Cricetulus griseus: one gene and its partners. The protein of the gene in region 4 interacts with the protein of the main gene of each other region in a pairwise test. Links are inferred from orthologs where the notes say so. Each region holds a gene or a part of one and is shown on either strand. Other genes may lie near its edges. The genes, in order: Eef1aknmt, Bag5, Znf385c, Thap1, Tcea2, CUNH1orf35 and Acot7.

Evidence for each region.
Region 1: the proteins of Thap1 (region 4) and Eef1aknmt interact in binary tests that used the Homo sapiens proteins (3 or more experiments, as listed by UniProt). The two-hybrid records come from large-scale screens. The link is inferred for Cricetulus griseus from reciprocal best matches to the Homo sapiens genes THAP1 and METTL13.
Region 2: the proteins of Thap1 (region 4) and Bag5 interact in binary tests that used the Homo sapiens proteins (3 or more experiments, as listed by UniProt). The two-hybrid records come from large-scale screens. The link is inferred for Cricetulus griseus from reciprocal best matches to the Homo sapiens genes THAP1 and BAG5.
Region 3: the proteins of Thap1 (region 4) and Znf385c interact in a two-hybrid assay, tested with the Homo sapiens proteins (3 studies listed by BioGRID). The two-hybrid records come from large-scale screens. The link is inferred for Cricetulus griseus from reciprocal best matches to the Homo sapiens genes THAP1 and ZNF385C.
Region 5: the proteins of Thap1 (region 4) and Tcea2 interact in binary tests that used the Homo sapiens proteins (3 or more experiments, as listed by UniProt). The two-hybrid records come from large-scale screens. The link is inferred for Cricetulus griseus from reciprocal best matches to the Homo sapiens genes THAP1 and TCEA2.
Region 6: the proteins of Thap1 (region 4) and CUNH1orf35 interact in binary tests that used the Homo sapiens proteins (3 or more experiments, as listed by UniProt). The two-hybrid records come from large-scale screens. The link is inferred for Cricetulus griseus from reciprocal best matches to the Homo sapiens genes THAP1 and C1orf35.
Region 7: the proteins of Thap1 (region 4) and Acot7 interact in binary tests that used the Homo sapiens proteins (3 or more experiments, as listed by UniProt). The two-hybrid records come from large-scale screens. The link is inferred for Cricetulus griseus from reciprocal best matches to the Homo sapiens genes THAP1 and ACOT7.

What each region holds. Positions count from the first base shown.
Region 1 is NC_048598.1:29,592,885-29,597,522, forward strand, and holds the start of Eef1aknmt (eEF1A lysine and N-terminal methyltransferase), read left to right. Parts: upstream 1-1,537; 5' UTR 1,538-1,795; coding exon 1,796-1,948; intron 1,949-3,582; coding exon 3,583-4,342; intron 4,343-4,638. UniProt on the Homo sapiens protein: Dual methyltransferase that catalyzes methylation of elongation factor 1-alpha (EEF1A1 and EEF1A2) at two different positions, and is therefore involved in the regulation of mRNA translation.
Region 2 is NC_048598.1:182,322,400-182,326,942, reverse strand, and holds the start of Bag5 (BAG family molecular chaperone regulator 5), read right to left. Parts: upstream 2,906-4,543; 5' UTR 2,733-2,905; coding exon 2,719-2,732; intron 1,526-2,718; coding exon 157-1,525; 3' UTR 1-156. Other genes in the region: cytochrome c oxidase assembly factor 8, read left to right, coding at 3,398-3,526. UniProt on the Homo sapiens protein: Co-chaperone for HSP/HSP70 proteins. It functions as a nucleotide-exchange factor promoting the release of ADP from HSP70, thereby activating HSP70-mediated protein refolding.
Region 3 is NC_048600.1:113,686,536-113,690,455, reverse strand, and holds part of Znf385c (zinc finger protein 385C), read left to right. Parts: intron 1-2,408; coding exon 2,409-2,557; intron 2,558-3,920.
Region 4 is NW_023276807.1:57,653,988-57,657,753, reverse strand, and holds the end of Thap1 (THAP domain-containing protein 1), read left to right. Parts: intron 1-1,376; coding exon 1,377-1,745; 3' UTR 1,746-3,109; downstream 3,110-3,766. UniProt on the Homo sapiens protein: DNA-binding transcription regulator that regulates endothelial cell proliferation and G1/S cell-cycle progression.
Region 5 is NC_048599.1:224,222-227,040, forward strand, and holds part of Tcea2 (transcription elongation factor A protein 2), read right to left. Parts: intron 2,114-2,819; coding exon 2,023-2,113; intron 732-2,022; coding exon 586-731; intron 140-585; coding exon 83-139; intron 1-82. UniProt on the Homo sapiens protein: Necessary for efficient RNA polymerase II transcription elongation past template-encoded arresting sites.
Region 6 is NC_048600.1:73,266,593-73,271,178, forward strand, and holds the start of CUNH1orf35 (multiple myeloma tumor-associated protein 2), read left to right. Parts: upstream 1-1,512; 5' UTR 1,513-3,011; coding exon 3,012-3,256; intron 3,257-3,395; coding exon 3,396-3,441; intron 3,442-3,538; coding exon 3,539-3,621; intron 3,622-3,696; coding exon 3,697-3,769; intron 3,770-3,875; coding exon 3,876-3,961; intron 3,962-4,586.
Region 7 is NC_048595.1:4,175,829-4,180,305, reverse strand, and holds the start of Acot7 (cytosolic acyl coenzyme A thioester hydrolase), read left to right. Parts: upstream 1-1,500; 5' UTR 1,501-1,678; coding exon 1,679-1,851; intron 1,852-4,477. UniProt on the Homo sapiens protein: Catalyzes the hydrolysis of acyl-CoAs into free fatty acids and coenzyme A (CoASH), regulating their respective intracellular levels.

The DNA of each region.
Region 1 (4,638 bases), on a different chromosome or scaffold from region 4:
CGAGGCCATCCTGGTCTACAAAATGAGTTCCAGGACAGCCAGGGCTACACAGAGAAAACAAGCTAACACATAAATGCTCAAAAGATGATTATAAAAGATTGCTTTAAATTAAAAATGATGTCTACCCTAACGGTTCAGTGTCTGTTCTAGCACTATGTGTAGGCTGTGAACAAGAATTACTGGAAAGAAGCTGTGTCCTCAATGGCTCATTGATCACAACCAAGAGGTTGACATGTTCCAATCCCAATCTTTAGCCTCCTTAATAGCCATTTGGTGTCCTCTGTGCGTGACTTAACATCTTCTGTGATCATTATGTATGATCTCTGGAAAATAGAAATAGACCTCCGGCTTTCCTGCTTGTTTGTAACCATCTCACAATATGCCAACCAATGTATTTGGAAGTGTTATTTTACTGTCTGTATTGTTACTATAAAAAGGTCCATGAGCCGGGCGTTGGTGGCGCTCGCCTTTAATCTCAGCACTCGGGAGGCAGAGGCAGGCGGATCTCGGTTTGTTTGAGGCCAGCCTGGTCTCCAGAGCGAGTGCCAGGACAGGCTCCAAAGCTACACAGAGAAACCCTGTCTCGAAAAACCAAAAAAAAAAAAAAAAAAAAAAAAGTCCATGAAATTGCAACCTCATGGAAACACCGTATTTGAGGAACCTAAATTTGTGTTTCTGGGCTACGGTCACTCCGTATTTGGCTCCAGAATAAACCATCTCTTTATCGTGCTGTTTCCTTCATCGTCTTTTCAAAACAGCCCTTCGCCAGGAACCTCCTTGGAATATTTTCATGCAACGAACATTTGAAAGGATGGTATGCTCATCAGACACATAAAAGATACCTTTACAGCTGGCATCAGCATGACAATTTAAGGAAGTCGATAACAAAATGAACAGCTTCAGTATGGATACCGTGTTTTGAGGGGCGAGGTAGAGGGAAAAGGAGGCACCTAAGAAAGTTGGTAGTCTTTCCTCCTGAAATTTTACATTGTTACAGTATTGATAGCGAAGGCCCGTATTTTGGAGCAGAAAAGTAGTCCTTTCCCTCTGAATTAAAGGAAGTCCGGGGAGAGAAGATGGGGAAGGGAACAGAGCGGGCTGTGCAGGTCTGAGACGACAGAGAGGCACAAGCGCACCAAGGCTTCCATCCTCCCGAACAAGAGGGATTTCTTCCTGAGCCTCCAGCTTCTGCGCAGTTTAGCCACAGTCCCACCGTGACTAGGAGGGCTCCCCAAGCCCGTGCGCCCTCTGCCGGCCATGGAGCGCAGCCTCTCAGAGGCCGTTGTGGCGACGCGCGCAGCCGCTCCCGGCTCCCGGCTCCCGGCTCCCGGCTCTCGGTAGTGGCCTCTTCCGCCCGGACTCTGGCAGGAAGTCCCGCCCACCCGAATCGGCTTGGGTAAAGCCCGCGACGCCTACGATCCAGGCCCAGGGCTAGAGAGTCCTAGCCAATGATGTGCCAGAAATGAGACACACTGACCAATGAGCTGCTGGCGTGGTATGGGCGCCAGACCAATCCCGAGGCGTCTTACCCGGATGTGTTTGCTGGGCTCTGAGAGTAGCAGCCTGAGTGTGGGGCTGCTGCTGCACGTGGGGCGCGGGCTGAGCGTGCAGAGAAGGGGGCGGCGCGCGTGCGTGTGCCGCGTAGGGCGTTCGTTTGGGTTTTGAGTGCGGGGAGAATCGATGCTGTCTGTAGTGGGTAAGATTCCCGCGGCTGCATCTAGGTGCTTCCTGTGGTGAGGTCCCCTCTTGATCTGTCACCAGGAGTAGTCTCGAGGACGCAGCTCGCCGTGGGAACATGAATCTCTTACCTAAAAGCTCCAAGGAGTTTGGCTCTGTTGACTATTGGGAGAAGTTCTTCCAGCAGCGAGGAAAGAGATCTTTCGAATGGTATGGAACCTATCTGGAGCTGTGTGAGGTGCTGCACAAATACATCAAGCCCAGGGAGAAGGTAAGACATGAGGCCAGGAAGCCCTCCGTGGGGACCGAAGATAGCAGTTCTAAACTTAGGAGACAGGCAAGCGTGGGTACCCTACTCGGATCCACAATTCAGGAGTCCGTGCGGCATTTTGGCCAAATGACAGCTTTAAAATAGTGTTTTAAAGCTTTTGGTCAAAAGCTGATCCTTGAGCCTGGCGCAGTGGCGCATGCCTTTAACCCCCAGCTGAGACAGGCGTATCTCTGTGAGTTTAAGGCCAGCCTGGGCTACTAAGCAAGTTCCAGGACAGCTAGAGCTGTTACACAGAGGAACCCTGTCTTGAGAAACCAAAAGAAAAAATAAAACAACAACAACAACAAAACAACTCATGACCTTTTTGGAATGGTTACTTTTATCAGTAGTCTGAAAGGGTATTCTATCACTGCACGAGTGTGGATTAGGCAGTGCTGTGTGGCTTTGTTGATATATACTTTTAGTAAAGGAGGTGTGGAAGAGATGGGGTTGTGTTGGTGGTAGGGAAGAAAACAACATCTGTTGTGTGCCGTCTTTTTATTCTTAGCAAATTTAGGTGCACTTGTTTTCACAGGTGAATGTTGGAGATCACGCATGTAGTAGGTTGTCACATGGAGATTTAAAAGCAGGTCTGTCTGACCTCAGAGCTTAGTCACTTCCCATCAAAGGATGCTTTTCCTTCAAGAGATGGGCACAGCAGAATTTTTGAAAGATGAATGGGAGATTGTGCCATAGAGAGAGACAATAATTTGGGTTTTAAGTTTGACTTCAGAAGAATAGCTAAATATCATCAGATGGGATCTGATAGGGGCAGATTTTGAAGTCTCACAAACTGTAGTTTATTATCTGGGAAACAGGAAGCATGAGTGCACGGAGATCGTTATGTCAGGCTGCTTTTTAAACGGTAAAACAATATTGCAGCTGGTTTGTTTGCATTTTGCAACTTCCTACAGACTTTTTTTTAAAAAAAGGAGTTATTTATTTTATTATGCATATGTGTGTTTGATTGCATGAGTTTATGTGCCTCCTGTGAGTACATGAGCCTGTGGAGGTCAGAAGAGGCTGTCTGGTTCTGGAATGAGAGTTATAAGTAATTGTGAGCTGTACCGCGTGGGTGCTGAGAACTGAACTTGGGTCCTCTGTAAGAACTGTAGTAGCTCTTACCTTCTGAGCTATCTCTCAAGCCACACATTAATTTTTGAATAGCACACATCACAAAGCCCTGTTGTCACATGACCTTTATTGTGGCAAAATACTGTTTCGATTAGTGAATTCCTGCCAGGTGTGTCTAGCTTTTGACGTCGAGATACAAGGTTGTCATCTACAAGACTCACACGTGAGAACCATGCAATCAAGTGACATAGAAAAATCATTGCAAAAAAAAAAATACAATATTTTCAGAATGTTTACAATTTTGTTTTGAACTCTAGTTCTCAGCATGAGTCATACACAACTGTATTGGTAGCTTCAAGATGGCACCTAGAGTTAATTGAGTGTTGCTTTCTTCTCGAAATAGTTGTCCTGTCTTTTGAGAATAAAAAATAGGCAAGGTGAGACTTTCCTCTTTGAAGTATTAAAGAACATGTCTTTGCCTTGGTAACTTCCATTTTGTATATGATTTTTTTTTCCTCTAGGTCCTTGTGATTGGATGCGGCAACTCAGAGCTAAGCGAACAACTATACGATGTGGGCTATGAAGACATTGTGAATATTGATATCAGTGAGGTTGTCATCAAGCAAATGAAGGAGCGAAACGCCGGCCGACGGCCCCGCATGAGTTTCATGAAGATGGACATGACACAGATGGACTTTCCTGATGCCACATTCCAGGTGGTGTTGGACAAGGGCACGCTGGATGCTGTCCTGACAGACGAGGAGGAAAAGACCCTACAGCAGGTGGACAGGATGCTGGCTGAGGTTGGCCGTGTCCTGCAGGTGGGCGGTCGCTACCTCTGCATCTCCCTGGCTCAGGCTCACATCCTGAAGAAAGCAGTGGGTCACTTCTCTCGGGAGGGGTGGATGGTGAGGGTGCACCAAGTGGCCAACAGCCAGGACCAGGTGTTTGAAGCCGAGCCTCGGTTCTCCTTGCCTGTCTTTGCCTTCGTCATGACCAAGTTCAGGCCAGTCCCTGGCTCTGCCCTTCACATCTTTGAGCTGTGTACTCAGGAGCAGGGCAAGCCCGTACGGCTGGAGAGTGCCGATCGGCTGGCCGAGGCCGTGAGGGAGCGGCAGCACTATGCTTGGCTGTGTAGCCAGCTGCGCCGCAAGGCCGGGCTGGGGAGTATATCTCTGGACTTGTGCAGTGGGGACACTGGGGAGCCACGCTACACCCTCCACGTGGTGGACAACCCCACTGTGAAACCATCGCGGGACAGTCATTTTGCCATTTTTATCAGTGAGTTGGGATTGTTCCACCTCTTTCCCTGGAAGGGCTGGCTTACAGGGGCTGGAGTTGGGCTTGGGTATTGGTGACTGAGTATGTCATGGCTCTTTTTAATCTTAAAGTGAAATTAGCCAAGGTATGATGGAAGGGAGTAATAGGCCTCCAGCAGCCTTCTTAGAGTTGAGCATCTTCTTTTCATAGTCTATTATAAAGGCTTGATGACGTTTGAGAAAGGAGGTGGTAGGCAGGAGACAGTAAGTGCAAATTTAGATCCATTACACATTATGTAGAAATGTTAGTTCCTCAAT
Region 2 (4,543 bases), on a different chromosome or scaffold from region 4:
TGCAACATCAAAAGCAGCAGAAATACTGCATATAATTTGATTAAATCATAAATACTGAGATTGAATATGCACATAGAAATTACATTTAGGCTCCATGAGCTGAAAGCTCTCTAAAAGCAGATAAAGTGTGAACCAGCAGGAGCAGCTCCTGGTCCATCAGTACTCCCACTCGTCGGACTTCAGATCAAGGTAGCTGAGGATGTTCTGGGCCAGCTTCACAGCCTGCTTCCTAGCAGACTTACACTTCTCTTCTCCCTGGGGGTCAACAGCGTCCAGGGTCAGCAACTGTTTGGTCAGCAGCTCCTCCAGACGGATATAGTTCTTATCAGTTCGGTTTCCACCAAACGAGAGGACTTCACCCTGAATCTCTGACAGGTTTCCAAGGACATCCCACACAGCCTTGTGTGGGGGGTTCTCCTCACTAGGGAAGAGCTTCCTCTTCTCCAGGGCCTCCTTGAGGTCCAGGTACGTGATCAGGGTCTGCACTTCAATCACGGCTCTTCTCCTGGCTTCCCGGATGCAGGGGTTCTTCTCAACACTGACTTCATCTAGCTGTCCGATCAAGCCCTGAAGTTCTGTCTTGGAGCTCAGGTACAGTTCGGGAGGGCTCTGAGCCTGGAGAAGTTCATTTTTTATCTCTCGCATCCTCTTGAGCACCTTTTCTATTTTCAGAATGGAATGGTTCTGCCCCAGGTCAAATGCATGTGTACTGTCAGCTTCCTCTTCTAAATCTAGGTATTTCAGTAGTTTGTTGATGTCCTCCACCACCTCCCTCCGGTAATTTCTGATCTCCGTACGCCCACACACGTCTAAAGCATCTAGATCAGCCATCAACCCTGACAGCACGCACGATAGGTGCCTGCAAGTCTCAGTACTGTCCACGCCCATCAGAAGTGCGATCAAAGTGCCCCTGGCCTTGTTCACCTCACACATCACCAAATTGATCTTGGCAACTGAAGGGTGCACATCCTCAGAGAGCGGCAGGGAAGGCTGCTTCTTCATGCAGTCTTCAATGATCTCTTGCACGGCACAGATCTTGGTTAGGGTGTGGTACCTTGCTTTCCGCAAAGAGATCTTCCCTCCTGTTTTAACATGCGTCAGCCTCAGAATGATGTCCTGGATGCCTTCCTCAAATTCGTCAGTCACACAGTTGCCTCCACTGTAAAAGGGCACGATCTTTTCTTTCACAAGGGCCTGTGCCTCCTTAAAGATGTTCTGGATTTCAATCCGGTGTGGGTGGTTTGCATTCTGCTCCAACTCTTTGAGAAGGCCTTCTGTCTCCTGCGCTGCCCTCTTCCTAGCTTGCTGAATGTCTCCTTTTCCTTCTGTGTCTACAGAGTCTATTTCAAAAAGTTGTTTCGTCAGAATCCTCTCCAGTCTCTTGTAATTCTTGTCATCCGCCAGGCCGCTGAAGCCAACCACTTGAGGCTCTATACTCTTGACTTCTCTTTGGATCTCCTGAAGCCTACTAATAGAAGGGTGTTGGTTTCCCATATCCATACTTCTGTGTTCAGTTTCACAAGCACTGAAAGACGGCAAGAGTAACTTATTACAGTCTCTGCAGGACAGTTAGATCAACCCACTTTAAACTCACTTTTAAAAGGCATACTTTTTAAAGGATTAATTGGGGCTATGGAGACAGCTGTCAGTCAAGTGCTCCAGTTGGAGCTCCAGAACACATGCAAAGACAGCCAGGGCAAGGGCCCTAGAGAGGGCTCAGTGGTTAAGAGCACTGGATGCTCTCCAGAGGACCTGGGTTCAATTCCCAGCACCCACATGGCCTCTCCTGGTCACCTGTAACTCCAGTTCCAGGTGATCTGATCCCCTCTTTTGGCCTCTACAGGCGCCAGGCACACATGTGATGCACACACATACATGCAGGCAAAACACCGGTGCACATAAAACGTAAAAGCCAGGCAAGATGGTGCTCACTTACACCACCGGTGCCAGGAGTCAGAGACGCGTGGACTCTGTGGTTCACTGGCCAGCTAGCCTACTCCGATTGGGGAGCTTCGGGCCATGAGAAGCCCCGCCTCAAAAAAAACAAAGTAGAAGGACACCACAGAAATGGTGTGTCTGGGGGGAGGGGGGCAGGGTTGAACTCTGGCACCCGGGCAAGCACCAAAACACACAGACGGAAGGTTTTGTCGTTATTTATAGATTTGGAAGACATACTCGAGGAAAGAGGAGATGTGACATGTTAACTCCCTCTCGGGAAAGCACTTCACAAAACAATGTGCCAACACGCCCGGCGCCAGGGAGGCAGAGGGAAGAGAATTAGGAGTTCAAGACCCGCCCGGGCCACTCAGTGAGATCCTGACTCAAAAGCAAAACGAAAACAGGGAGAAGTCTGTCCAGTCTGGGGTGGATGTCTGGGCCTGGGAATCAAAGTGAGCCGCGCGCACACACACACGCACACACGCACACACGCACACACACGCACACACTTTCACGGAGGCCAAACCATCCGCGTCAACCCCGTTTCCTCTGCTCCCACCGCCCTAGAGGACGACTGGGAGCGGCAGGCGGGGCGGGAGGCTCCCCTGTGGAAGTCATCGGGCGCTCTCCGGGGCTCCTCACCGGGCCACCGTTCTGCCCCAGGCCCAACCGGACTTGTCCTTTCCACGAAGTCCTCGCCCCCCTCGACTCCCATTGCTGCCCCGACCCGGGCCCCCGCCAGAAAGCGTGACAAGTGCGGTTATTAGCTGGGTCACTCGCCTCCCCGTAAGCATGCTTAGAGCTTTTCCCACGCTCGCTCGCTCGCTCGTTCCGTCTCTCAGGTTTCTGTCAAACCGCTCACTTCCGGCGGGCCGGCCACAGAACTCAGTCCAAGCCCGGAGAGGTGCGGGCGGCGGCGGTCTTGGCGGCCGCGGAGGGCGGCGAGGCGGGAGACCGGCCCGTCACGGGGAGCGGCGCCGGAGCGGGGCCCCCAGCGGCATCCCCCTCGCCCTTCCCGGCTAGGTCTGACCCGGGCGGCCGGTGAAGGGGCCGGCGGAGGCGGCGGCAGCTACTGGCCGCGGCGGCCGCTCCGGGGCGTCTCGGCCGGGCCCGACGCGCCGCCGCCTGACCTCACAATGGGCGCGCGGGAGCGGCGGCGGCGGGGAGAACGAGGCCCGCGCCCCCCCCGCGCTGCGCTGCGCTCACCTGGGCCGCTCGCGCCATCGCGCGCGCTCCTCCGCCTGCACTTCCGCAGCGTTGCCGAGGCGGCGCCCGCCGCGGGGCCGGCCGCCCAGCTCCGAGCCCGGGGAAAAACGCGGCCGGGCCCCGCCCCGGGCGCGCCCGCCGCCGCTCTCCGGGAAAGCGCACGGTCGGCCTCGCCCGCGCCGCCCGCCGCCGCCCGCGCGACGCTGCCGTAAAGCGGACCGCGGCGCTGTCGCGATCGCGCCGCGCGCCGGCCATGGCGGCTCTGCGGCCCGGAAGCGGAGCGCTCGTCCGGCCGCTCGTCCGCTCCTCGTCCAGCGGCGGCGGCGGCGGCCGGCTGGCCCGGGAACGCGGCACGGAGCGCAGGGATGCGGCGTCCAGCCCGGTGAGCGGACGCCCGGGGAGGGAGCGGGGCGTCCCCGGAGCCGGCGTGAAGCGCTGTCGGCGCGCTGCGCCCTCACTTCCGCTGCGCGAAGGCGCCCGGGCTCGGTCTGGAGGCGGCGGCGGCTCGGGCCGCGCGTTGTTTGTAAACAGTCGCGCAGCGTCAGAGGCCGCAGGGCGCGTCCGCAGCGAGCCGGGAAAGCGGCCGGGCGCTCGGCTTTTGTTTAACCCGCCGCCCTTCTTCCCGAGCCGGTGCTTCGTTTAAGGGAGGCCCGGGCCAGTGAGAGTGATGGCTGAGGCTTCAGGTGGAGAGCACTAGACAGCGCCCATGGCTGCCCGCACTGCATTTGCCAGCAGGCCGGCGACACAGGCTGGCGAGGTTTGCTTAAGCAATAATTAAAGGGCCGCAGCGGGGAAAAAAAAGGTGTGTGGGGGAGATAATTAAGAATTGCAAAATGTGCCTGCTGTGTGAATTTCCATTTCTGTTATGCTGCGTCTCGGAAACACTTTTATTAGAACTACAGCTTTTGAAGTCTGTCTAGTCTCCAGTTAAGGTTTGTTGCCCGGGCTCCTGGCCTCTGGCTCGGTTCCCTGGCACGAGAAACAGACAAGCCTTCACTTCTGTCTCTAGAAAAATAGAATTTTAGTCCTTGGGCAGAAGGAAAAACGAAACAGGTGTCTGAACATGTTTGGGGAGGGGAAATGTAACTCAGCCAAGCATTTACTTTGGGGTGTGTGTGTGTGTGTGTGTGTGTGTGTGTGTGTGTGTGTGTGTGTGAGAGAGAGAGAGAGAGAGAGAGAGAGAGAGAGAGAGAGAGAGAGAGAGAGAGAGAGAGAGAGTCTTGCTGCGGGTGTGGTGGCTCAACGCCTTTAACTCACAAGGCAGCCTGCCTGGTCTGGGTAGCAAGCTCAGCTCCATAGTAACTTGGAGCCAGGGCAACCAAGTGAGACACTGTCTCAAAACAAAACAAACAAAAAGTAAATCTTACCCAGGGTCTGGGTCCTCAGGATAACACTTCAG
Region 3 (3,920 bases), on a different chromosome or scaffold from region 4:
CTGGGAGTTCAGCGCGTCTCCAGAGCTTCCTGCTGGAGCTAGCGATCTCTCCGCCCGACCCCAACTGGGGTGGCGACCGCGGTGTGGAGCTGCTGGGCTACCCAGAGGCTTCGCCGCAAGGCTTGGAGAGCCTCCAGGAAGCTTTCCTGGATTCTATGCACGAGCACGCTGGGGGTGTCCTTTCCTGAACCCTCGCTGGACGCAGTGGCCGCATTGGCGATGATCTTCGATCCCTGCCCCTACCCTGAGGGGCGGGCACTGGTGCACCAGCGCACTGGGCGAGTTCTTCAAGTGCATGGTGGCCAGCCGCCGTGGGGCGCCTTTGCCCGCTGGCCCTGCATCAAGCTGGCGTGTGCGCTTCCCGAGCTGCACCAGCTATTTCCTGACTTCGACTCCCTAGCCTTGGTGCTGCCCGCGCGGGGCTGCTGAACAAGGTGGGCTGCAGCCTCAAGCTGCGGTGGTGGCACCCCGCCCCCCCCGCATGAGTTTGATTTTGCACTGGCCGTGGAGTTCTTAGAAAGCAGATGGGGGAGGGACTCCTGGGGTGCCTCCCCTTAGCCGGCAGCAGTGGAAACTGAAGGGAGCTCAGACACACTTTTTTTTTTTTTTTTTTTTTTTTTTTTTTTTTTTTTTTTTTTTTGCCTACAGATCTGTGTGAGGGTGCCAGGTGCCATGTGGGTGCTGGAAATTGAACTCAGGTCCTCTGGCAGTCAGTGCTCTTAACCACTGAGCCATCTCTCCAGCCCCGCTCAGACACATTCTTTTTCTTTTTTTTATGTATACAACGTTCTGCTTCCATGTATATCTGCACACCAGAAGGCAGCACCAGATCTCATAACGGATGGTTGTGAGCCACCATGTGGTTGCTGGGAATTGAACTCCGGAACTCTGGAACAGCAGTCAGTGCTCTTAACCTCCCAGCCAGCGCCAGCCCCCACCCCCACCCCCAGACACACTCTTAACCATACTACACTCAAGCTGACCTACTGTGTTGTACTCTGCTCTTCACCAAACCTGTCTATGAGGAATGGGGAGCCTGCGCAACTGGTAGTGGTGCTACCTAGGTTCTGGACAGTTCCGGTCCCTTCTGACCTTTCAGAGTTTGCTTTTTCTCTGTTGGACCCTCTCCTCGGGTTTCGGTTGGAGGAAAGAAGGTTGGGCTTTAGGAACTGGAGAAACAGGTGAAGAAGAAGGGGTCCCCGAGAATTCCCTCGTCCCATGCTTTACAGCGTCTCTTTTCTTAAGAGATTGTAAACTGGATGCCAATGCTTGTTCTGACCCACAGCTCGGTGCTATCTGCGCACAAACTAATAGGTCAAGTGCATAATGATTCCAGAGAGGCAATGGCGCCCTCCCTCCCTCTCTTCTCCTCCGACCTGCTGCCTGCCGGCTTTTCTGTACTTGACTGTTTATAGACATACATCTACAGATGCTAAATAAACCCATTTTATGTTTCAGAGGGTTAACACCCAAGTATTGAAAAGGACTTCTTCTGGTTTTGCAATTACAGGACCCAAGAAAGTCTCCAATAACCTAGATTGATACCTGCTTTTTTTTTTTTTCTTCCCTTCCTTAAAATCTGGTTTGTTGGTTCCCAGCCCTTTCCTGCCTTTGCTTTACATGGTTAAGACCAAAGACTGCAAAACCACAGTGTTGTTCTTGGGTGTCCTGAGGACTGGTTTGGGGGGGGGTCTCACCAGAACTAGAGACCCAAACTTTGAGAATGCTGTAGGTTTCTTTCTTTTTAATTTTGTGGGGTTTTAACAATTTATTTTATATGTATGGATGAATTCTTTGCCTGCATATATGTATGGGCACCATGTGTGTGCCTGATGACTGCAGAGGTCAGAAGCAGGCATCGGGGCTACTGGAACTGAAGTTACAGTTGTGAGCTACCATGTGGGTCCTGGGACTCAAACCTCGCTAGGTCCTGTAGAAGAATGACCAGTGCTCTTAAGCACTGTGCCATCTCTCTAGGCCCATGCTGTGGGGCTTGTTTTCATTCCTTCTGTGAGTGGTATGGAACCTGAAGTGAGAAGGGACAATTAGTGAGAGGAAGGGGAGCTGGCCTTTCCCTACACTCCCTGAGTTTGGTACTTAGGGATAAAGTGGGAACACAGCAAGCACATCATGCTGTCACCATGGATGTGTGTGCTAACCCTGACTCTGACCCCTCTCTTGGCTGAACTCCCTCTGGGTGTCTGTGAGAGAGGCTCACTCTTCTGTCTAGGAGACTTGAGCTGGAGACTCCTTGACTTCGCTTCTTCAACTTGCTTCAGCTGCAGTTACAAAGAGGGAGCCAGGAGTTCCTGTCCTGGCTGTACAACAGCCTTTCCTTGTGGCAGCAGCGGTGGGAGAGAGAGCCTTCTGGCTCCTCATTTCAGACCCTGCCCTTCTTCCTCCTGCAGCAGGCCCCGCCTCCAGCGCCCCCAGCCCCCTGCTGGCCTCCCTGACCCTGCCCACCCGGCCTCTGCAAACCCCGTTGGACTTCAAGCACTTGCTGGCCTTTCACCTCAATGGCACCACCCCGCTCAGTCTCTTCCCCAACTTCAGCACGGTATGGGCTGGGCAGGAGGGCGGGGGCACATGACGGTGTGGGGGTGGGCAAAGAAGGTGACTCAGCTGACCCTAGGTGCTACCAAATAGGGACCCAGAACCCAGCTGTCTCCTAGCTAGAGATGAAGGTGATGTCATTCCCACCCCACCATCACAACTCCCCAGAGGGGTGTGTGTGTGTGTGTGTGTGTGTGTGTGTGTGTGTGTGTGTGTGTGTGTGATCCAGGTGTCTCTGTGTGCACTTGGCTTGTGTCTTTGATTTGGGGGGTTAAAGATTATTTTATTATTTCTTTATTTAGTTGTGTGTTTGAGTGACTGTATGTATGTATGTTCACATGTGTGGATATACATACCTGTACATGTGCCACAGCCTGAGAGGTCATTACATCATTGCATGCCCTCCCTCTATGATCCCTCCCTGAACCTGAAGCTCCTGTTTTCTCAGTAAGGCTGGAGAACCAGCAAGAACCAGCAATCCTCCTGCCTCTAGCCCTATTGGAGCTGAGGCTACAGACTTGCTAGGGCACCTGGTTGGTTGTGTGGGTGCTGGGATCTGAATGCCAGTCCTCATGATTGCCCAGCAAGTGCTTTTAACTGTTGAATCATCACTCCAGACCTTGAATTATGTCTTTGCCTTGGAACTTGTATCTCTGGAGGTCTGTGTGTTATGGGTGGATGTGAATTTGTATATTGTTTATGAAGACTTTTGTGTGGATGCCTAGACAATTGTGTGTCATATGTGTGCATGTGAATGTAAGGGATTTGGATGTCTTTGTGCCTTCTCTTAGGTGCTGGGTATGTATGAGTTTCAGGTGACTGAGAGTCCATCCGTGTCTGAAAGTGTCTTTCTCCTTGTGAGTCTGTAACTTCCTCTAAACTTGTGTCTGTGTATTTCTGTCTTATGTGCATGCACTCAGTTGTGTGGAGTGTGTGTGTGTGTGTGTGTGTGGTGTAGGAAAAATGTTGGAGTACTCCATGAGGTGTGAGGAACAGCACCCTTTTAGTTCTGAAAATCAAATAAAATCAGGATGAACTCCACTCCATCCCCAAGAGACCCACGTGGCATGCCCTCCCAGTAACCTGTAGGAGTCTCCCTCCCTTTTGTCACCTCCAGGGTTGAACACAGGTCCTGAGAAGTATGACATATTTGGGCATGGGTCTATGGGCTTCAACCCCTACTGTCATTTACAGATGTGTTCATTGCTCAAAGGCAGGTGACACCACTGTTGGCCCACTGCCAAGACCTCCCTCTAAGGTCCTGATACGGATCTGCTCTACCCTGGACACTGGCCAGGTTGGAACCTCTGTTCTCAGGGCAGTTGCTATAGCATGTTCTCCTCTCTGCCTCTGGTTTCTTCCCATGG
Region 4 (3,766 bases):
CTCCAGGGGATCACATGTCTCTGGCCTCTTCTTGCAGCTCCACCTCCACCCCACAGCAAACACACACACACACACACACACACACACACACACACACACACACACACACACACACACACACACACACACGATTATAAAGAAAAAAAAACCACTAAGTAACAATAATATACTTTTAAAAAATTTAGAATTCTATGAATTTTAATATCTCACACTTAAAAACTCATTCTAGTTTTGTAAGTTAAAAACAGTTCTGTGTCTTTACATGTTGATAAGTTTTGTTTTTCATTATTAATGACAGTTTATTTTCAAATTATTTTTCTCTTGTTTTAGGTGTTTAGTATTTACTTACATCTAACTAAATCACTTTCTCAGTTTCACAAATCTCACTTTAACTGCAAATAGAAAATTTGAATTGGAACTGAAAATGGCTTGTGGTGTCACATACCTGCAGTCTGATCACTGGGGAGAACAAACCAAGAGGATTGCCACAAGTGTGAAGCTAGCTTGGTATAAACATAGTAATTTCCAGGCCAACCTGGATTATACAGTAAGCACACTGCTTCCCCCCCACACCAAAAAAAAAAAAAAACCAAAACAAACAAAACCCACCCCAAACTTATGGCAGGTGGAGTTACATGTTACTTGTTGTCCTAGAACTTGGGAGGTATAGGAGGATCTGAAGTGTGAGGCCAACCTAGGCTACACAACAAGACCCTGTTCTTTTTTTTTTTTAATCATTTTTTATTTGAATTAGAAACAAGATTGATTTACATGACAATCCCAGTTCCCTTCTCCCTCAATCCTCCCCACCACTCCCCACCCCTCCCCCCACCTCCAACTAAAACCCTACCTATCACATCCCCCTTCTTCTATTCTTCACCTGACTCAACCTTTCTGCTCCCTCATGACCTCTGCATCCTTCCTCTTCCCTTCTCATTCTCCTGCCCCCCCTCTTCCCATGCTCTCAATTTGCTCAGGGGATCTTGACCCTTTCCCCTTCTCTAGGGGACCATGTATGTCTCTCTTAGGGTCCTCCTTGTTTACTAGCATCTCTGGCAGTGTGGATTGTAGGCTGGTAATCCTTTACTTTATATAAGACCCTGTTCTTAAAAATCCACATACAAGCCAAAACCTAGTGTTGAAATTTTTAGCCTGGAAGATATAGTTTTAATGATAAAAAGTTTTGTGTTGAGGTCCTGGCAACCTGGATTCCATGCCAATGTTGTCAAAACCATCTCCAAGAAAACCTATTTTCTCTTTCTCGTTTTTTTTTTTCTGTACCATGAAGTGACAAAAAAGTCCAATGCTAAAACTCTACAGATGTTTGGAGGCCATTAGTTACTAAACTCACATATGCTTTTATGTTGCTATTTTAGAAGGAAGATCTGGAACCCCAAGAACAGCTTCCCTCTCCTCCTTCACCCCCTACTTCCCAGGTCGATGCTGCTATTGGGCTGCTAATGCCTCCCCTCCAGACCCCTGATAACCTGTCGGTGTTCTGTGACCACAATTACACTGTGGAGGACACAATGCACCAAAGGAAGCGGATTCACCAGCTGGAGCAGCAGGTCGAAAAGCTCAGGAAGAAACTCAAGACCGCCCAGCAGCGGTGCCGCAGGCAGGAGAGACAGCTGGAGAAGCTAAAGGAAGCAGTGCACTTCCAGAGAGAGAGAGATGATGCGTCAGAAAGGGGCTATGTGATTCTCCCACATGACTGCTTTGAAATTGTTGAAGTACCAGCCTGAGAAAATGAGATGTACTAGTGGGACAAGACTACATGCTCTCTTGTAGCTGACACACAGGATTTCATTTGAAAAAACAGTACTTGATTACTTGTATAAAAAAAAAAAAATCAGAATATTTTTTTAAAATAAATTAGTTATATACTGTAAAATTGTAATTTTTTTGTTTGTAATTTCAGGGTTTTTACACTTTAACAAAATATTTTAAAAAATCCTTAGACCGCCAATATAATGTTGTATATTGGTTTCAAGATGGTGGATTGTTTTTCATTTGAGTATTTATAGAAATAATGTAAAAATGAAAAGTAGAGAGGATAATGGTGCAGTAAAGATGATTTAAGTTTAAAAGTTAAAATTAATGCCCTTTATTGAGAGAACTTATAATTTAAATCAGAAGTATAAATGAGATCATAGGACAGCCTCTCAGAATATAGAGATGTACATACACATTTGTATTTATAGTCAGAGCTTCATTTATTTTTCTCAATCACTTGTCAAAATAAACTGTCAAGTCAATATTTGAGGAAAATAATATTTTGCTGTCTTCAGAAGAGAAAAGTCATTCCATATTTAATCAATAACTTCATAAAGTAGATTTTTAGAAGTGGGTCCTTCTTGTCCATAGCTTTGTAAAATTGGAAGTGTATCTTGGGGAATGAAGGCCTCAAAGTGAAGGATTGTTACCAGTGTAGTGAAAATTGGGCTGGGGAGGCGGTTCCCTGGGTGAAGGTGCTTGTCGTGCAAGCCTGGTCCCCTGACAACCTGAGTTTAACACCTGGGATCCACATAAGGGTGGAAAGAGAGAGCCAACTCCACAGAGCTGTCTTCAGACCTCCATATATGCTGTGGCATATCTGCACACTCATAAACAAAATTGGGATCTGGTTCCTGATACGCTCTCATCATCCCCTAGCTTAAGGCATCTAATTCTACAGCCGTAGTTTATCTGCATTCAGATCTCTAATATGATTTTAGTAGAGTTTGGTTTGCATCAGAATATGGTAGTTTTCCCCTTAACTGTTTGATTTTGGTCAAGACACTGCATAAAAAATATTTTTTCACCTAAGTTAGAAATTACATCTAATTTACTTTAAGTGACTTATGTTTGAAAATAATGTGCTGTGTTTATGTCCTTAAATGTTGAGATTTAAATATTGTAGTTTCTGTTCACAATGTGAATTGTGTTCTGACTTTGTGAGAAAGCTTACATTCTTTTGAAATGAAAATATGTTCTAAGTAGACAAATACTGATAAAAGAATTCTCTATTTAGGTTTAGGAGAACCATATTTTACATTTCAGAGTACACTCTCTGTAGTTGAGTAGCAGACCTTTTAAGACAGTATTAAAGACATGCTATTCAAGCATCTTTTGTGGATCTGCTTATTTCTTATTTACTGCCATGCTGAGAATAGGTAGCACTTTTAATTCATGGACATTTGATAGTTTTATGAACATCTCTTTTTTTGGTACTGAAGATTGAACATGCCCTTTAGCAGGCTAAGCAAACACCCTGCCCCCAAGCTATATCCCGATCTCTCCATTCTCTATTATTATTATTATTATTATTATTATTATTATTATTATTATTTGAGACAGGGTCTCATTATGCAGCTTTGGCTATCCTGGCTGTCCTAGAACTCATTATGTAGACCAGGCTGGCCTCAAACTTACAGAAAACTATCTGCCTTTGTTTCCATAGTGCTAGGATTTAAGGTGTTTATTTACCACCAAGCTTGGCCCCCTATTATTAATTTTCTAAAGATATATTTTATATGACTGGAGATCTGGCTCAGAGGTTAAGAACACATAAAACTTTGAAGCCCTAAGTTTGGTTCTCAGCAACAACATGGCAGCTCAGAACCTGCTGTAACTGGTTTCTGGTGACCTGATGCCCTCTTCTGGCCTCATTGCAGACCAGGTTGATCTCATACTGGCAGAGATCTGCCTACCTCTGCCTCTGCTTCCCAAGTGCTGGGATTAGAGGCATTCTCATCATGCCACCATGTCTGATCCAAGCTCTTTT
Region 5 (2,819 bases), on a different chromosome or scaffold from region 4:
TAACAGCTACTGGAGAAGCACAACTCTGGCCTACAGACTCTACCAGAAGCCTTTAACCCTGTATACACTGTGTAAAGGATATACTCCTCGATCTGAGCTGACAGATGCTCGCAGTCTACACCAACAGCCTTGTGGTCGTCTGCAAGAGGGAGCCCTCATTAGTTTCCCCCACTGGCTTTTTCCACCTGCCACTCCTCTGCTTGCACAGCACCCCAGAAGCTAAATAGGTCACTTCATTCCTGGGAAACAGTTCCCAAGATACAGGTGTTCTGGAGACCCCAAAACCCAAGCCTCCTCCCTAGGTCACAGTAGGGAATGTGACTAAAGAGAAGATCTGTGCTGGTGGCGCATGCCTTTAATCCTAGCACTCGGAAGGCAGAGGCGGTGGATCTCTGTGAGTTTGAGGCCAGCCTGGTCTACAAAGCAAGTTCCAGGATAGCCAGAGCTGTTAACAGAGAAACCCTGTCTCAAAAAAACAAGAGAGAGAGTATGTTACCTCTCTGACAGCAACCTTTAAAGCAGGCAGAGGCCCAGGCCACCCTAGGAATCTGGACGAGTATTAAAATCAGAGCTTGTAGTACTCACGGTCCGTTTGCAGGGCCAAAGTCAGCATTTCACGGCATTTGTTTCGTACAGCATCACAGGTGATGGGAACTGAGGGAAATGTGGTGATCCTCGGAGTGGATAAGGTCCTAGGTGGGTCTGGCTTCTTGCAGCTAGAGAGACAAAGCCTACTGGGCTCAGACTGAGCCTGTTAAGCTAAGTTATGCATCTTCATTAGCTGTTGTACACCACTGGGAGGCCACCCAGTGCACTCTCTGGGTGATCCCCTGGCCTTTCCTGAGCCACAGGTGATTCCCCAGAAAAGCAAACATGGACACCACACTGACCTCCAAAGCCCGTTTGCTCTATCCTGACAGACCCCCAGCTAGACCCAATGACTTCATTCATCCATAGTTCAGCCTAGAATGCCTGTGTGCTCAGGCTTCCTTATCAGAGAAAGGCATTGGCCACAAGGTCCACAGTGAACCACAAATCACTCCCCAAGTGGATGCCAGATCCTTCCTCAACAATCAGTGTCTCAATAAAATGCTCCCTAGTCAAAGGGGGCTGAGATATTCTTGCTAGCTTCAGAGTGTCTGCTTCCCAAGAGACCCAAAACATGGACCATGCTGTGAATACCTCTCTGCTAATGGCAGAAACAGGCAGGTACTTCTGGAGTAAAGATGAAGTGGGAGATCACCCAAAGTCAAGTCTTATCACAGGTGACCCCACTCAACACAAATGAAATTGGGCAAGGATCTCAGGTTTGGGCCCAATAAAAGACTTGCCTACCAGTCATCCTATCTACCCACCAGGCCCTTTCCTCTGGAAATCAGCAGCATCAGGTGGCTTTCTGGGGCAAGATCCACTGTATAAGCATGCTAATGAGCTCAGGACATGACATCATATCAGGACTGCAAGGCTGGAGTCCAGAGCATAGGCTATTGTAGCCTGGTCTCAGCCTCTGGCCACTGCTACCACCTGATCAAAGGAGCCTCTCATCCATAACCTGTAACTAGCAGTGCCCCTAGTCTCCATGGTAACAGGTTTTCCCTGACCACCTTTTAGGCAATGGTATGACAACACTTGAATGTGGAGATCTGAGCTGTGCCCACCTATAGCTCTGGCTAGCATTGCATGAGTGACCCATTCATCAATCCTGCTGAGCAGCAAAAAGATAGGGTCTAAGTAAACAGGCAAGGAGGCCTGGGGCTGGGCCAGATCCTGATGGGTAGCCCCTTCTTACTGAATGTCTCAGTGATGACACTGACAGCCAAGCAGACTCAGCCAGACATCTTAGATGGGCAAGAAGGGAACTGAGCAGTGGGACAGTATCCAACATGAGGCTGACTAACCTTACAAATGGTGACCTAGAAAGGGCCTCTCCCTCAGAGCAGTGCCCAGGCAAATAGACATCAGCCTTCTTTTCCTACTGAGGCAAGAGGCAGAAATGTATATACCTGCCATCAGATATGCTACCTGAGATCCGTAGTCCCTGAGGTATCCTTTGAGGATGATGTGGGCAGAGGTGTGCCCCTCCCTTGATCCCTGGTCTTGCCATCAGAAACATCTGTCATTATCAGAAAACAGATGGTATAGACTGGTCAGGAGCAGGTAGCCAGGTGCCAGCTCAGCCTCAGCCTGGCCATTATCCCTACTGCTCAAAGCCATTAGATAAGCAAGGTGCCAGGAGGCCACCAGACCTTCCTCCCAGTCCCCAGCAAGCCCACCAGCCTCTTCAGGACCCACCCTCCTCAAGCCCCCACTCAAGCAAGCTGCTGAGGGACTCTTCAGGTCCAACCTGGCCAGAAAACAAGCAAATGCCTCATAAAAGTCTCCTTCGGAAAACATGGGCCTTGCCCAAAACCTGTACTGGGGATCAGGACAAACTAACCCTGAGGCTTCTTGATGGCCATGTGACTATAAGGAGGGACAGATCCTGGGTTGTCTCACAGAGGTGTAGACAGAGCCCAGGAATGGTTGCCGCCCTAATCAATGGGAGCATCTCTGCAGCCTAGTTGTCCACTGTCCCCACAAACAGATGCTGTCTGCCTAGCTTACCTCTTGCAGAGGTAGCAGCCCCACCTCCTCCTCCTTCATCTGGAGCATGCTGACCTGGACCTCCTTTTCTGTTGACCTCCCGCAGCTTGAAAATCTCCTCCCCAGCATATACACTTGTCTCAATGGTCACGCCTCCCAGGCCATCCCCTCCCCATCACAACAGATGACATCATCTTCCATCATCCTCATCCACTTCCAGACCAGGGATGAGTACT
Region 6 (4,586 bases), on a different chromosome or scaffold from region 4:
ACAGTGCAGCTGAGCCTTCTATGTCCTTAGCATACCTGGTCAACGGTGAGGGCCCCAGAAGTTGCTATCTTGCTTTCTGGAGATCTTTCCTGGGAGATGGCTGGTTTGCTCCTTTTTTACTGTGGCCCACATGACTGCTGCTCCCTTAACTGTGCAGCTCCCCTTGGGTCCATCCATGTAATACATCCATCCCTAGTGTGATCTTGTTCTTTTTGTTTGTTTTTATTTTGAGACAGGGTTTCTCTGTGGCTTTGGAGGCTGTCCTGCAACTAGCTCTTGTAGACCAGGCTGGTCTCGAACTCACAGAGCTTCGCCTGCCTCTGCCTTCCGAGTGCTGGGATTAAAGGCGTGTGCTACCACCACCTAGTGTGATCTTGTTCTGAGGGATCTAGTTCCAGCTGTGTCCTCCAAAGCCAGGATATGAACTCAGGGCTTGTACTAGGTGCCTCACAAGCTGTTGGCAGGTTCTCAGCATGTGTTCAGAATGAAGACATGAACAAAAATGGGGTTGTCTTGGTCTGTTTGGGATGACAGAGAGCACCAGGTTGGATAATTTTTCAAACTAGGGATGGAACTTGAGACCTCTCTATCATTAAGATGTGGCTCTGTTTCTCTTTCTTATGTTGAGGCAGGGCCTTGCTAAGTTGCCCAGACTAGCTTTCAGATCTCTTTGTAAGCCTAGGCAGCTCTTGAACTTCCAACCAACCTTCCTGCTTTAGCCTCTTGGGGACCTAGGATTACAGACTCTTGTCACCAGGCCCAGTTCAGACTGGGTACTTTAATTAGCAGAGTGGCATACACCCTATGGCATGTGGGTGATTAAATGATAAATTGTGTAAGTTGGTTCTCTCCACCATGTGGGTCCTGGGGATTAAACTTGTTTCAGCAGGCATGACAGCAAGAGCCCATACCCACCCAGCCATCTCACCAGTCATGGGTACTTTATAAATAGTAATTTGTTCTCACAGTTGCAGATTTTATGCATGTTTTATCTTATAGAATATGTGAAGTTTCAGGGGCTGGAGAGATGGCTCAGCTGTTAAGAGCACTGACTGTTCTTCCAGAGGTCCTGATTTCAATTCCCAGCAACCACATGGTGGCTCACAACCACCTTGAATGAGATCTGGTGCCCTCTGCTGGCATGCAGGCAGAAGACTGTATACATAATAAATAAATAAAATCTTAAAAAAAAAAAAAAAAAAAAAAAAGAATATGTGAAGTTTCCCCAAAAGCAGTGGCAGAGGAGTTCTCACAAGGGAGTGATCCAGCTGCTCTCAAGATAGGTCCCTAAAGAAATACTAGGGTGAGGTGTAGTAGTTCACATACGTTCTTTTTTTGGTTTTTCAAGACAGGGTTTCTCTGTGGCTTTGAAGGCTGTCCTGGAACTAGCTCTTGTAGACCAGGCTTGTCTCGAACTCAGAGATCCACCTGCCTCTGCCTCCCGATTGCTGGGATTAAAGGCATCTGCCACCAACGCCCAGCTCACATATACTTTTAATCGAAGCACTTGGGAGGTAGAGGCAGATGGATTTCTGTGAGGCCAGCCAGGGGTACATGGTAAAACTCTATCTCAAACACAAACTGAGAGAGGTTGGCCAAGTTGCCTCTCCTGATTAATTCTGGGAGAACTGGAAACCAGGGGGCTTAAGGCAGCCCAGCACTTGAGTTCAATCTGCATGACAAGGCTTGTTTTTTTTATTTTTCACCTCCTTTGAAAACAAGAGCTACAGATTTACAGTTCTGCAGGGGAGCCTGCTTCACAGGCCAGCATGCTCAAGGTTATGTAAATCATAACAATGTCTGTCTTCAGAAAAACAGTCGAGGTATAGGAACATCACCCTATTCTGTAGAAGCTGAAGAAGGTCCCAGGCGTTCTTGTGTTCCTTCCCACATTTGTTTACATTCCAAATTCCCTTTTTGAGAAATATTAACATGGGATGTTCCCATGTTCATGTCAAATTCATTATATCCTCACCACTCCCCAAAACAGTCTGGATGCCAGCACTATAGAGTTGGGACAACAGATCTGTTCTGGGTTCTAGACAGCTAACATCTCATTTTATATTAGAGACTGAATGTAAGTGAGTTCTCCAGGGTTCCCTTCGTAGGGGCACTAATCTGTGAGGCTCTGCTTCATTACCTCAAAGGCCCAGCCTTCAAATATAACCCTAGTGGATGTTTTAAAAATGATAATAGGGGTGTGGGTTGCCACACAGTCTATTACAGGCAGTTAAGGCTAAGACTATAATGCAGAAAAATTGCACTCATTTAAGCTTTAGTCCAGACATCGACTTGATCGTTCATTGGCTGCCAGGTAAAACTAATGATTCTTCCAGAACCAAATGACAGTACTAAACCTGTATTCAAAGAAGCTTAGTTACTCGTTATTCTTGGTCATGCCCCATCAGAACAAATGCAGTTAGCTCTGTTCTTCGTACTTCATCAGTAAAGTCACCTGCAGAAAACACAGATCGCTCTGGTTTAGGGAAGCTTGTGCTTTGTGGCCTTTATCTCACTTTCGTGACACAATGTGTCATCCAGTACACAGAAGAGTTGATCTGCGTTTCTTTGGGGGCTTTAATCGCCACTCATGGTCCCAGGGATTTACTTCATCTCAGCTCTGACCTGGGACCCCCACTCCTTTTGAGTTAGCACGCCTGGCTTTTGTCCGGCCCTGGCCCCTCCTGGTGTCACCAAGGTTTGTTGGCATTCCAATCCACCGCATGACACTGAGATCAGCAGCCGTTTCTTCGAGGAGCTAGTGCGCAGGCGCACGTGGAAATGGGATGAAGATGCGCCTGTGAATGAGTTACTACTTGAACACCGGGTGGAAAGAGGGCTCTCGAGGCTGAGGTTGCCCGAGCCATGCAGAGCGCAGGCGCGCGGACACCTTAGTGAGACGCGCAGGCGCACAAGTGACGTCACGGCGAGCGTCCGGCGGCCGAGTGCTGCGGGAATCTGACGCTCGGGCTGCGGGTACTGGAGATTGTGCAGCGAGCGGCTCCGTCGCCATGTTCGGCTCCAGTCGCGGCGGCGTGCGTGGCGGACAGGACCAGTTCAATTGGGAGGATGTGAAGACCGACAAGCAGAGGGAGAACTACCTAGGCAACTCGCTGATGGCGCCAGTGGGCCGCTGGCAGAAGGGCCGCGACCTCACCTGGTACGCGAAGGACCGCGCGCCGTGTGCCGGCCCGAGCCGTGAGGAAGAGCTGGCGGCTGTGCGCGAGGCGGAACGCGAGGCGCTGCTGGCCGCACTGTGAGTTTCTGGGCTGCGGGGCGACTGCGAGCTCCGGGGATGGGATCTGGGTGGCCCCGGGGCGGGGCTAGATGTAGGCTGGGCAGGGGAGGAAGGCTACGGGCTCATGCCCCTTGACGTGTACCCTCGACCCTCGCAGAGGTTACAAGAACGTGAGAAAACAGCCCACCGGCCTGAGCAAAGAGGTGAGTCTGGGGTGCGGGTTCAGGGTCCTCAGGGCTGGCGGGGCTCTATCTGTACCGGCCTAGAACCTCTCCCCACCCCCACTCCCCGCTTCCTCAGGACTTCGTAGAGATCTGCAAACGGGAAGGAGGCGATCCTGAGGACAAAGGCGTGGACCGGCTGCTGGGCCTGGGCAGCGCCAGGTGCGGCGGGTTGGGTAGAAGGGGGCAGGACTGGGCGGTGGTCCAGAACTGTCCTCAATGTTCTGTCTTTTGCAGTGGTTCCGCAGGCCGTGTGGCACTATCCCGGGAAGACAAAGAGGCTGCCAAGCTTGGGCTGTCAGTGTTCACGGTAAACTGTCGGCCCAAATGCTCAGGATCCTGGGCTTGGGGATGTCTGGGGAGACGTGGGGCGGGACTCCCTGGGTGTCCCTCCCTACAGCTGCGCTTCTATATAGCACCACCGCGTGGACAGCGAAGGCCCAAGCACCACCCCATCTGCTGCCAGGAAGAAGCCTCGTGCTGAGGACAAGGCCGAACTGGAGTAAGTTGAGGAGTCTGAATACTTATTCTACCTACTCTGTGTGTGCGCTTTTGAGTCTCTTGCTGGCATCCTATGTGAGTTGTGCACACTGCACTAAGAGTGTATTCACAGGAGATACTGGGTGTCCAGACCCACAGGTATACTGGGAGGTTAAGTGCCAGGTCTTTTTTTTTTTTTTTTTTTTTTTTTTTTGATGGAACCAAGCACTGCCCTTAGTTCTTTTGGCTTTACTGAAGTTGTTGGGCCTCCACCTCCAGGCTGGATGTGCCTGCCCATCCAGATGCCTGAAAGAGGGAGTGTCTCTGTAGCTGCCATTGAGGGCCAGCAAGGGTGATGGTTGCAAACAGGAAGGTGTCACTCAGACAGAGCCATGATGCTGGCCAGTTTGATGGGAGGTGGAGCAGTTAAAATATGAAGCTACAAGTGGTGGTGCTTGCCTTTCTTTAATCCTAGTTGGTAGACAGAGGCAGATTGATCTGAGTTTCCACCAGCTAGTTTCCAGGCCCAGGGATTTAGTTGTGTGTCTGTCTGGTTACTTCTGCTTTTTTTGTCAACTCAACTTTGTACTTAGTGATTTCCTGGCTAGACTACATATCGAGAAGGCTACATATCGAGAAGGGGGGCA
Region 7 (4,477 bases), on a different chromosome or scaffold from region 4:
TCTGGCCTTCTCAGGCACTGTCACTCACATGTACCCCCTCTTCTACGCATAATAAAATTATTAAAGTAAATTAGAAAAACCCTTAGTGTGAGGTGACACACACCTGTCTTTCCATTGTATGGCTGGCAGAGGCAGAAGGCCAACTGGACTGTGTGATGAGACCTCTCTCTCTCTCTCTTTTTAAAGTATGATAATTAATGTTGTTAAATGTTAAGTAGAGACCAGCGTGCTTGCCCCATAAACTTGGTGAGTGATCTGCGTGTTGTCCTTGGAACACACATGGTGCCAGGCAGATTTCACAGGTGTTGGGATGTAATCTAGGGCATGGGAACAGTCATTTGATGTTTGATGAGGCTGAGGGATTTTTAGTATATGTTCTAGGTTTATCTACTTATTTATATGTTTACTTATTTAAAAATGGAAAGCCAGGCCTGGTAGTGCATGACTCTAATCCCAGCTTTTGGAAGGCAGAGGAAGCCTGGGGAATCTCTGTGATTTTGAGGCCAGACTGGCTTACATAGTTGAGTTCCAGGTGAGCCAGGGTGACATAGTAAGACCCTGTCTTTAAAAACAAAACAGTCAGGGTGGGGGTGTGGGGCATGGTGACTCACTCAGGAGGCAGAGGCAGGCAGATCTCTGTGTTCGAGGCCAGCCTGGTCTACAGAGCAAGTTCCAGGACAGTCAAAGATACAGAGAACCCCTGTCTCAAAAAAACCCAAATAAGAATAAAAACAAAACAAATCAAAAGTATGTGTGAGACTTCACTGTGCTGCCCAGGCTATCCTGAAATTCTGGCCTCAAGTGAGCCTCTTCCTCTGCTTCCTAAGCCCTCTAGTAAATGGGAGGACAAATGTGGTCCACCTAGCCTGTGGTGGATCTCAGAAGGAGCTGTGTTTTAGAGAGGATGGCAGACCATGTTGTCTGGGATTTGCTGCAAGATAACCTGGCATTGGAGAGTGCTGAGAGCAGAGAGGAAACCAGTGGTGGCCCAGAGGCAGTTGAATTGACACGGGGGTGGGGGGGGGCGGCAGGGGGGCAAGGGACTCTTCTAAGCCTTTGGTTTTTTTCCACAGTAGAGAGTAGAAAATAGAAAACACCAGCTCTCAAGCCTCAGCCTCAGAGTGTGAGGGCGGAGTCCAGCCTCCAGCCCTGCTTCCTCTGTGGTCCTGCCCCACTGCAGCACTTTGTAGTCCTCCTGAACTTCCGCGGCCTTCGTGCTCAGCCAGCACCTCTGCCCTACTTGGCAGCCGAGCCTTGCTGAGGATCTTTTGGCCCAGGTGGGACCTGTGCTTCAACTTGGCATAAGCCAAGAAGGGTGAAGCTCCGCTTGAAGTTCTTGGAGATTGGGGGTCCTAGAGGGAGCTCTGTCTGTCAGTCCTGCAGATAGGTGGTGCCTTTGTTTCTCCTCCCCCTTATCTCCCTCCTAGAGGTAAGGCAAGGCTGAGTGACTTCACACCTCCTCGTGAGCTGCTTGCATCACTGGCTGCAGGCACAGACCCACCAGCTTGACTGCCTGCTCCTCCCTCATTTGCCTACTTACTTACTAGTGGTGGAAAGAGGAGCCGGCTGGATTCCCTTGAGGAGGCCACTCGGATCGCTAAGCCGGTGCCGAGTGGTGGACACAGCAGCTAAGCCTTTTGCTGAGAGGGAAGATAAACGGGTTGTCCCACTCCACAGGATGAAGCTGTTTGCCAGGACTCTGCGCCTCTGGGAGGTGGGGAGGCAGGTAGCCTCCTGGAGCCTGGAGACAGGCCAGGGGCTCAGGGAAGGAAGACACTGGGCTCCCATGAGGGCTGTCAGGACCAGAGCAGATCTCCAAATGTCTGGACATTGTATCATCGCCATGGGAAGGTAGGGTGACTGATGCTAATCTACTCCCTCAGGGACTCTGCTCCTGGGCTTAGGCTTCAGGCACAGCAAGAGTGTAGGCTGTAAATCCTTAGGAATGGGGTTGGTGAGCTGCCTCTTGTCAATAGGTAGTCATCCATTGAAACCGGTCTTGCTGCTGTCCTTTTGGGGACCAGTGGAGGCTCCTGGGCTCCAGGCTGTAGGAAGCTGGGGCCTTCCTAGACATGAATTCCTTTGGGTGTGGTTGGAGATCACCACATCCTATGACCAGCAGCTGTGCTGGCTCAGGTCCAGGCCCTCTTCCAAGCGGCTGTTCCAGGTGGCCGAGAGATGCCGCAGCTTCTGCGCATGCCCTGTTTGGTCCTGGATGAATGGGCTTTCATTTCCCTAAGCTTTGCAGAAACGTTGTTGGGATGTAATTCACATGCCTACATTTTATCCACTAAAGTTCACAACCTGGTGGCTTTAGCACCTTCCCTGAGATGTCACCATCAGTTTTGCAAAGCAATGATAGGGTCTTCTAGCTCTTGAAACTCTTGGAGTGACAGGAATGTGTCTTTGTATGCTAATGAGATGACTGGGGGCTGGCCCAGGAAGACTTGCAGGAAGGACTGGAGGGTTTGAACTTTTGGCTCCACCCCGTTACTTGCTACCGGGGTGGGGGAGGTTCTTGGCTTGAGTTAATCACCCATGACCAATGACTTGATCAATCATGAAATCCCCTTATGCTGAGGTCAACATTTATCTTCCAGCTTCCCAGTGGCAGCCACTGCATCAGTGTGGCTGGTCCTCGTTGTGTCCTTCATTTAAAAAAAGGAAATCGTCTTTTCTTGGGGGGATAGAGCCTTACTGTAATTCAGGTTGTCTCCAAACTGCCTTCTGCACCTGTCTCCCCAGCACCAGGACCCAGTAGAGTGCCCTGTGCCTGCAGGAAATTCCCCAGTTAGCAGATTGAGGAGGGGCTTGTGGGAACACTGATTTAGATGACTGACTGTGACCAGTGGACTTGTATCAGGTGTCTGAAGTGCGTGGTCTCTGGGGACTGTGGGGTTGGCGGCAGAATGACAGTGACTTGTAGGACCTGAGTTGAAGGGTGGAAACTTGTCACCTGATGTTTGTCAGCAGAGGTGGTGTGCACAGAAACAGCTCATTTGGGAGAGAATGAATTACCTGGTTATTTCAAGTCAGGCTTTGAGGCATGCAGGTGGCTCCACAGGACCTGGCTGTATTATGTCTCCCAGCGTGCTGAAGGGGTCAGTGTCCCCACAGCTGCCAGCACTTGCTTGTTAGTGGGTGTGCAGTATTGTCCCACTGCAGTTCCAGCTGGCACTCCCCTGATGACTCAGATGCCATTGTCTTTTTCCGGGACCGGGTTCTCTGTGGAATAGCTCTGGCCTGGACCACATGCTGTAGCTGGCCTGGAACTCACAGAGATCCTCCTGCCTCTGCCTCCCAAGTACTGGGGTTAAAGCTGTGTGCCACCACACTTGGCAGCGGTGGCTTCTTCCTCTTCTCCTCCTCCTTCCTCCTCCCCCCTCCCTCCCCTCCTCCCTCCCCTCCTCCCTCCTCTCTCCCCTCCCTTTCCTCCTCCTCGTTCTTCAAAATTTATTATTTTTCCCCTAGAAAATAATAAATTGGAGAGAGGGCTCAGCGGTTAAGAGCAAAGGTTAAAACGCCTCTTCCAAAGGCGTTGGGTTCAATTCCCAGCAACTACATGGCAGCTCACAACTGTCTGTAACTCCAGTTCCAGGGGATACTTTGAGACCAATGCACATAAAATAAAGTTAAATAAAAAAATTTAAAAAGTTTATTATTTTAGCCGGGCATTGGTGGCGCACGCCTTTAGTCCCAGTACTCGGGAGGCAGAGGCAGAGGCAGGTGGATCTCTGTGAGTTCGAGGCCAGCCTGGTCTCCAGAGCGAGTGCCAGGATAGGCTCCAAAGCTACACAGAGAAACCATGTCTTGAAAAACCAAAAAAATAGTTTATTGTTTTTAAATTTATGTATGTTATGTGTGTAGATCATGTGTGTAGGTGTCCTCAGAGTCCAAAAGGGTGTTGGGCCTCTTGGAGCTAGAGTCCTAGGAGGTTGTGGTGCCATGTGGGGCTGGGAACTGCACTTGGGTCCTCTGGAAGAGCAGCACTTTATCACACTTCCTCTGACTCCTCCCTACTCTTTGAGAGAAGGTTTCACTTTATAGCCTGGGTTGTCCTGTAATTAGCTACATAGACCAGGCTGGCCTTGAAATCACAGTAGGGAATAAGAAACCCTGTCTCAAACAAGGTGGAAGGTGAGAACCAACACCTGAGGCTGTCTCTGACCTCATGGGCACAACATGGCACGCACACACATTCACATGGACCCACATGTGCGCGCGCACACATTCACATGGACCCACATGTGCGCGCGCACACACATTCACATGGACCCACATGTGCGCACGCACACACATTCACATGGACCCACATGTGCGCGCGCACACACACACACACACACAGACACACACACACACACACACAATCTACAACAAAGACACCAAAAGCATTGGAGAGGAAAAGAATAGCCTTAATCAGTGGTAGGAGATATGCCGAAGTTTAGTAAAACTGTCCCTTACCTATAGAGCATTCAAA